Linked DNA regions of Oryza sativa Japonica Group. The protein of the gene in region 1 interacts with the protein of each later gene in a pairwise test. Links are inferred from orthologs where the notes say so. Each region holds a gene or a part of one and is shown on either strand. Other genes may lie near its edges. The genes, in order: MADS-box transcription factor 27-like and N-alpha-acetyltransferase MAK3.

The links.
Region 2: the proteins of MADS-box transcription factor 27-like (region 1) and N-alpha-acetyltransferase MAK3 interact in binary tests that used the Arabidopsis thaliana proteins (3 or more experiments, as listed by UniProt). The link is inferred for Oryza sativa Japonica Group from reciprocal best matches to the Arabidopsis thaliana genes AGL21 and ATMAK3.

Annotation. Positions count from the first base shown.
Region 1 is NC_089038.1:23,540,389-23,543,634, forward strand, and holds the end of MADS-box transcription factor 27-like, read left to right. Parts: exon of another isoform or gene 1-5; intron 6-81; exon of another isoform or gene 82-706; coding exon 707-768; exon of another isoform or gene 769-784; intron 785-1,223; coding exon of another isoform or gene 1,224-1,281; exon of another isoform or gene 1,282-1,430; intron 1,431-1,498; coding exon 1,499-1,598; intron 1,599-1,682; coding exon 1,683-1,724; intron 1,725-1,800; coding exon 1,801-1,884; intron 1,885-1,961; coding exon 1,962-2,116; intron 2,117-2,203; coding exon 2,204-2,222; 3' UTR 2,223-2,429; downstream 2,430-3,246. UniProt on the Arabidopsis thaliana protein: Probable transcription factor.
Region 2 is NC_089045.1:21,021,604-21,026,169, reverse strand, and holds N-alpha-acetyltransferase MAK3, read left to right. Parts: upstream 1-1,683; 5' UTR 1,684-1,754; coding exon 1,755-1,949; intron 1,950-2,052; coding exon 2,053-2,179; intron 2,180-3,680; coding exon 3,681-3,736; intron 3,737-3,957; coding exon 3,958-4,173; 3' UTR 4,174-4,329; downstream 4,330-4,566. UniProt on the Arabidopsis thaliana protein: Probably required for N-acetylation of some chloroplast precursor proteins and efficient accumulation of thylakoid multiprotein complexes.

The DNA.
Region 1 (3,246 bases):
CAGATCTGTACAGATTTCAGACTAACTGCTTATCTTTCACCGCAATAAAGCTTGTACCAGGATGATATAATCATCACTTACCTGACTTGTGCACTCTGCAGATACTTTGTAGTTAATCTAGCTTGGTGGGACTTGGGAGCATTTTGTTTAGACAAACAAGTTTTTTATCTGACTTGTGCACTCTGCAGATACTTTGTAGTTAATCTAGCTTGGTGGGACTTGGAAGCATTTTGCTTAGACAAACAAGTTTTTTACCTGACTTGTGCACTCTGCAGATACTTTGTAGTTAATCTAGCTTTGGTGGGACTTGGAAGCATTTTGCTTAGACAAACAAGCTTTTTACAATAGGGGGTAACACCCCGCAAAACGAGGACTGATAATGGAGTACCAAATTCAATAGAGTTGGTAGCTCATCGTCTTATCTGGAAAAAAAAACTGTCTTCAAACTGGAAAGATAATACTACTTCCCTTATTTGTTTACAACAAATTTCTTTGTTTGCCTCTTGTTACTTCTTTTACCATACACAATAACTTCCTCAGTTCAAATAGTCTTCTTGTCTAATGTAATTGAGTTTCCTTTTTTTTAAAAAAAAACTAGTGAGTTGATAACCCAGCATGTTTCTATGGGTATACACAACATATTTATATTGCTGCTTTTGGCAAACCTGGATTCTGCATTTCTTGACTCTGTTTTCATATCCAATAGTTCTGGCAAAGGGAGGCAGCAAGCTTGAGACAACAACTGCACAGCTTGCAAGAAAATCATCGGTATGGCCATAAAACCCTGCAAGTTTTTCAATGTTCCATCAGAAAATTCCTCAAGATAGAAAAACATAAACCATCATATATCTACTACTATGAAATACATGCATCATGAACCCTTGATGATGAACTTTTTTTTTTTGTGGGGACTTGCTCATGAATCCAGCAACTGCTAGCGACAATAATACTTCCAGCACCTGATTGTATAGTAAATATAAACTAGTACCAGATCATAAAAACAAGCACCTAGTGCTTGGGTATATGATACTTAGAAAAAAGAAGAAAAAACAGAGTATGAAAGTGATATATGCTGATTCCAAATTTCCTATAGATAATGCATTGTTTAACCTTCACAAACAAAAGAAATGAAGAAGGCACGTGAATTTTCTATATCATTTAAAAGTAAGAAATATATACCTTCAGCCATTCGATTTTTATGCATTTCCGGTTATCTCTAAAAGAAAAACAGAACTGAGCACCCATCAAAGGCGGACAGACCAAATTTACAAAGGAGAGTGAATATCACATTTTCTTCACCTGTGCTTTCTGCCTGGTAAATTATTGTTCAAACACTCCATTTTGTCCTTCAGGCCTAATTTACAATACCTAAACTAGAAAGGTACAAATTATTTTTATTATCAATTAACAGCTGTCTGTTGATCAGCTAAAATTAAGTGTCAATATTCACTCTGTATATCATCAGAACAACACTATAACATCCATTGGTTGATGGCAGGCAGTTGATGGGGCAAGATCTTTCTGGATTGGGTGTCAAGGAACTGCAAACTCTAGAAAATCAGCTAGAAATGAGCATACGCTGCATCCGGACAAAAAAGGTCAACCTACTAACCATATTTTTTTGTTGGGCACCTGATTGATTATATAATGGATTAACTTAAGATCAATATTGTTGTTTTCAGGACCAGCTCATGATTGATGAAATCCACGAACTGAATCGAAAGGTTCTACAACATCATGTACAATTGCTAAATCTTTGAATCAGCTAGTAAGCTAACTCTATTGCTGGCTTATTTGCAGGGAAGTCTCATCCACCAAGAAAACATGGAACTGTACAGAAAGGTCAACCTGATTCGCCAAGAAAATGCTGAGCTGTACAAGAAGGTACTTGATAAATGCAGATAGATGATTTCACAGGATATACGCTTCATTATATGATGACAGCTAATCTCTCTCCTCAGCTCTATGAGACAGGGGCAGAAAATGAAGCGAATCGAGATTCAACAACTCCATACAACTTTGCGGTTATCGAGGAAGCCAACACTCCTGCTCGTCTTGAACTCAATCCCCCAAGCCAACAAAATGATGCTGAGCAAACCACACCTCCTAAACTAGGGTAACTCAGATTTTCTGCACATGATCCATCTATCCATTCTCAGTTCTTTAGTGAAACATCAATTATAACTTAATGAAATTATTGCAGGCTCCAATTGCATCCATGACAATTTATGGTGTGGAAGTGTTGCCTATATTTTCACTATTCTTAAGGGCTACAGTTCAGAGCTCTTAAAATGTATTGGTCATAAAGAAGCTAACACATAACAAGACACAGTTTGCATGCTTGGATGATTAATATCTGATACTGTAAAATCTATTCGAATAAAAATGTATTATCTGAAGAGCCCATGAAAATTATTTTCTTATGACTATTTGGCACTATCTGCAAGTTTGTTTACCCAAATGACAGCTACATGTGTGCAAACTTATTGGCAAAAACAAACAGTGCGCGAAGTGTAGAGCATGCAAGATCAATGCTCTGTTTTATCTTAAAAAGCCATAAGCAGACAGAAGAGATGAAAAGGCATTATAATTTATCTGTGCAGATGTACCAGAACAAGAAAAGTATCAGCAAGAGCGACGCCAGGGGGCGGAGGGGCCTGGCCTCTTCCCACCCCCTCCACCCTTCTATTCTGCTGATGGATTAGCTAGGCACTGTGCTTGCACGTATGTATGTTTAGCAAGAGCGATAAGGTCTTTACTCTAGCCTTGTAGGCACACAACACCATCTATTTCCTTTTCCTTTTAGAATACCGAGTAATATGTACTAATCATTTGTATTATTTACATCACTAGGTGGCTAACATTGAAATTTTAAATTTCTAAAATATTAGTTAATACTTGTAACAGATGGATAGTTTGTTGCTCTTTTTGCCATAATCTAGTTCTTATTTTTTGTTTATTTTTTTCCTGTTTACCTACACTTTTAGCTTGAATGGTACAATCACTGCTTATAATCTGTCTGCTCATAAGGCTAAATTAACCTGCCTGTGTTTTAAATTGTCGTGTGTTTTTTTATACTGATACGGTATATTACCTATGGGGAACATTTAGATTAGCATAAACTTTTCTACGCTATTTTTTTTATAATCTTAATCACTTATAAAGCTGGGCCCCCTCATACTTAGATCCTGGCTTCGCCACTGGGTATCAGCGTTCAATCTTTCTTAATAATTTTAGACACATGTG
Region 2 (4,566 bases), on another chromosome or scaffold:
TAGCGGGCATTTTGTTAATTGGAGAATTAGTGATAATTTTGTTGATGGCGGGTGAATCCGTCGCCAACGACCATGGGGACGATGGCGGTGGGCCTTGGGCAAGGCGGCGGCGACGGCGGCGGTGGCGGCAACGGTCTCCCAGCCTTGGGCGTCTGGATCCGTCACCGGCGACCGCGGGGACAACGGCGATGGGCCTCGGGCAGGCCGGCAGCGGTGGTGGCGGCTGGATTAGGGTTCCAAGACGGCTTTTGATTTTCACGTGTGGGTGCTTCACTTGCACGAAAAAATCGGATTTTCACAGATACTTCGTTCCAGACAGGCGAAAGATCCGCACGCGAAAACCGCTTTTGACCGCATGGAAAAATCATTATTGTACTAGTGTGCGTACGAAGCAAACTGGGATTGAAAATGTGATGCCATGAATGCAATTTAAATTGAAACGATTTAGGATGATACTTTTTTTAATAAGTATTCAAAGACGAAACCAATTTGATTCAGTATGAGTGGTACTTGGTCTTTCATTTGTAATAATCAACTATATATACTAATTCCCAAAAATTTTAGTCTAAACTTTGTGGAGTTGACACCTCCAAGACCATTCTTATGGGTAAAAAAGATAAGATGTGTTACGAAGATAAAGGTTTTCATGTGGCTCATATTCTGTAATAGGCTAAATACGAGAAATATGCTTGATAGAAAATATTATCCTTAAGAAGATGCGACCTTTTATGAGTGATTTGCTTTAGTACAGAAAAAGAAACTCCCATACAACTTTTTCTTTTCTTGTCCTTGCAGCAGAAATTGTTGGGAGAGAATTGGTACAAAAATGAATGATAACCTAGAACTCTTTCACATGTTGGTCTTGGCAAGAATTAGATTCATAAGAAAGGAAAAATGTTTATTGCAGGCATATCTGAAAATAAAGAAATAGGAAGATCTTTGAGAATATTACTCATGGAATGGAAGTCTTTCTTTGTCCAAGATGAATGACTCTCTTAGCTCCCTGAATTCTTCTTGGTTACAATGGTTATAATTTTATTTCTTTTATTCTTTTCTTGTTTGTACATAACTTTTTTTAATATATATAACAAATAGGCAAGGTCTGGTAGTTATTTTTTTTAATAAAAAGGAAAGTGAAAAGGAAAGGTAAGAGAATGGACAATAGTGTGACGTCAGCATTTGAGAGAAAATGCCACATACAAATTTTTGATGCGGAGGAAAGAAAAGTAGGATATAGGAGGATGTCGTCATATATAATAACTAGAGAATACCCCGCGTGTTCTCCGGGATTCCGAGTCTTAATGCAAGTTGCTGTGGAATTCCACTATAAATAGTCTCCCTTTGTCCCATATTTCTTGTCTTCCAGATTTAGGGCTTCACACTGACACCATAATTTACAATGGTAAATCGATAATTTTGTGGTTGCATTTAGTTTAGTACCAAATATTGATAATGTTTATGGAAATTGGTGACATCACATTTATTCCATCATATCAAAACTTAAACAATTTTATCAACTTACCAAAAATTTTGATTTGACTAAATTTTAAAAAGGTTTATTTTGGTAGTAATAATCTTAAACATGTCCTCGCTAAAGATTGGGGGAGACGTGGAGTACATAGGAGTATGTTCCAGTCTTTAGGTGTGATTGCTTTAAGATTGGTGACGCCACGTGTCAAGATTGTAGAACGGGCGTGGGGTTCAAGTGCCTCTCCCCAACAGGAGTACCTCGTCGGCGACCTGCGGCGGCGGCGATGTCGGCGGCGGCGGCGGAGGCCACCGAGCGGGGCGAGCCCTCGGGCGGAGGCGGAGAGATCGCGTACGTCAGCTACGGCGGGGAGCACCACCTCCCGCTGGTGATGTCGCTGGTGGACGAGGAGCTCAGCGAGCCCTACTCCATCTTCACCTACCGCTACTTCGTCTACCTCTGGCCCCAGCTCACCTTCCTCGTACGCCCTCTCCTCCCCTCACCTCGCGCGCGTGTTTCACAAGAGTTCGTGAGGATTTGATGCGTTCTTGGTTGATTTGATTTGGGGGACAACCCCTCAAAAGGCGTTCGATCCCAAGGATGGCAAGTGCGTGGGGACGGTGGTGTGCAAGATGGGGGAGCACAGGGGGGCCTTCAGGGGGTACATCGCCATGCTCGTCGTGCTCAAGCCCTACCGCGGCAGGGGAATCGGTGAGCCCTCCTTCGATTCTCCAAGAAGAGTTTCTCTGTTTGTTTGATTGGTTGATTGACTGGTTTGTTTCAAAAGGGAGCATATTCTTCCCTTTGATAGTATCTGCACAAGTCTGTCCTGAAAGGAAGCGTAGACCACTCATGAATCTAAATAAGAACTTAAGAATCCTGCTGATTGGGAGGAAAGCAAAGGGTTTTTCAGTTTTTGTTCCAATTCGATCTGAAATGGCTGGCACCTGGTGGAGTGGTGGGCGATTTAGTACGGATTTACAATCTTCCATCGATTTCGATATGATATCCATATGTACTAAATAGGTGTTTTTCCCTTGTTATGCTTGCACAAACTTAATTGAGTATCACTTTTACATGTGTCAAGAAATTACTAGCTATAGGTCTTATAAGTCTAATTTGTTTCATGATCCTTTCACACTACCATTTACTTGTTTTTTCTCTGTAATAGTTGCTTTGTGTTGATATGGTATTATTTTTGTCTTAACATCAGCAAGTGAAATATGTCTGTGTAGCAGAGTGGAACGAAAACTAGCTTACTAAGTGTTACTGGTTTTCTAAAAACGATGCCATGTTAAGTATTTAGTAGGATTTCTTTGTTCTTTGCCTGCTTGATTTGCAGAAAGGAAAGGCATTTTTTTATTTCTTTTATGGGTACAATAGCCTTCTATTGTTCCCTTCTCTTAAACTATATAATCTTCTCTCATCAGTTTCAATTGAGATTTGTGCTATTATTTTGATAAAATGTTAGTTAACTTTGTTTAGGTGGTTTTCTAGTTTTGTGTAGGAGTAGGTATTGTGTTATGAACCAATATTCCCATGTTTAGTTTTCCCTGTGACAGATGTCTCGTGTTGGGTGCTTCAGCGATTCAGTCTGTGGCACATGAGAGCATTTTGGTCGATTAGTTCTTTATGGTTGGAGCCATTTAGCACTTCATCTGATGTTGTAGTATGCAGCCTAACCTTATCGTTACATCAACTTCTTGCATGAGATGATTTCTTCTTAGTGTCATACACTTGGAAGCGTGCTGACTATAATTGATGTAGCAATAAATAGGTGTGGTGCGACTTGCTAATGCATATATCCTGTGTGGGGAGTACATTTTTCATAATACTTTTATCATGAAATGCACACTGATATTTACATATATCTTGGTACAATGGTACAGATAGTCTGTTTATCTGAAAAACATTGCCTTTGTTGTTTCTGTAATGACATTCGCAGCAAGGATCTTGACAGCTTTAATTGTTGAATCCTGCCTGACATGAATGACCTTTCTCGATGTATGAATAGAGTATATGGTAGCTTTGTCATCTGTTAAGAGTATTGCGAAAGCTCCAGCTTCAGTTCGAATAGCTTTCCTGAAGTATACAAGTGCTTTGCTTTTGCAAATGGTCCCCATTTGTCTTTTTTAATTTTATCTGTAATAAGCAATTAAATGGACACTATGTTGGCCTTTATCAGCTAACCCTCTGTTTCTTCATGGTACAGCCACCGAATTGGTTACGAGATCTATTCGGGTAATGATGGAATCTGGCTGTGAGGAGGTAATCACCACTGTGTTGTTATCTTCTCACCCGATGAAAAACTTATTATTATCCTATTGTCGTTTTGGTACCCATCACTTGACTTTCTTGGTGTAAAATTGCTTCATTGATTATTCAATTATGCCCTAGACTAATCTGCAATTTCCATAATAACAATAATATCTTTCGTGAAATTAGTACAAAAATTGAATTATTTGATATCTGACTCACTCTCCAACCAGGTGACACTTGAAGCAGAAGTTACGAACAAGGGCGCCCTCGCCTTATATGGTCGTTTGGGTTTCATCCGAGCAAAGAGGCTGTACAGATACTATCTGAATGGCGTCGACGCATTTCGCCTGAAGCTGCTATTTCCTCGCCCTGATCCTGGTATGCATCCAATGATGATGCTAGGCAATGAGAGAGATGACCAGCACATGGATTCTCCTTACTTGTGATACCATTCTGGTCGATTGATAGGATGAGTTAGGATCCAAGGCATTTTGCTCTTTTATGTCAGTTTGATGATGCTTTTGTAGCTTTGCTGTAACTCTTGTAACATTGATGTGTTCAAAGATAGTATCTTATTTGACATGGCATTATGTTTCTTTCAATCCATGTTAGACGGTTGAAAAAGAATGCCTTATTACATACTCCCTCCGTTTCTAAATATTTTACATCATTGACTTTTTAGCATATGTTTGACCATTCGTCTTATTTAAAAACTTTTGTGAAATATGTAAAACTATATGTATACATAAAAGTATATTTAACAATGAATCAAATGATAGGAAAAGAATTAATAATTACTTAAATTTTTTGAATAAGACGAACGGTCAAACATATTTAAA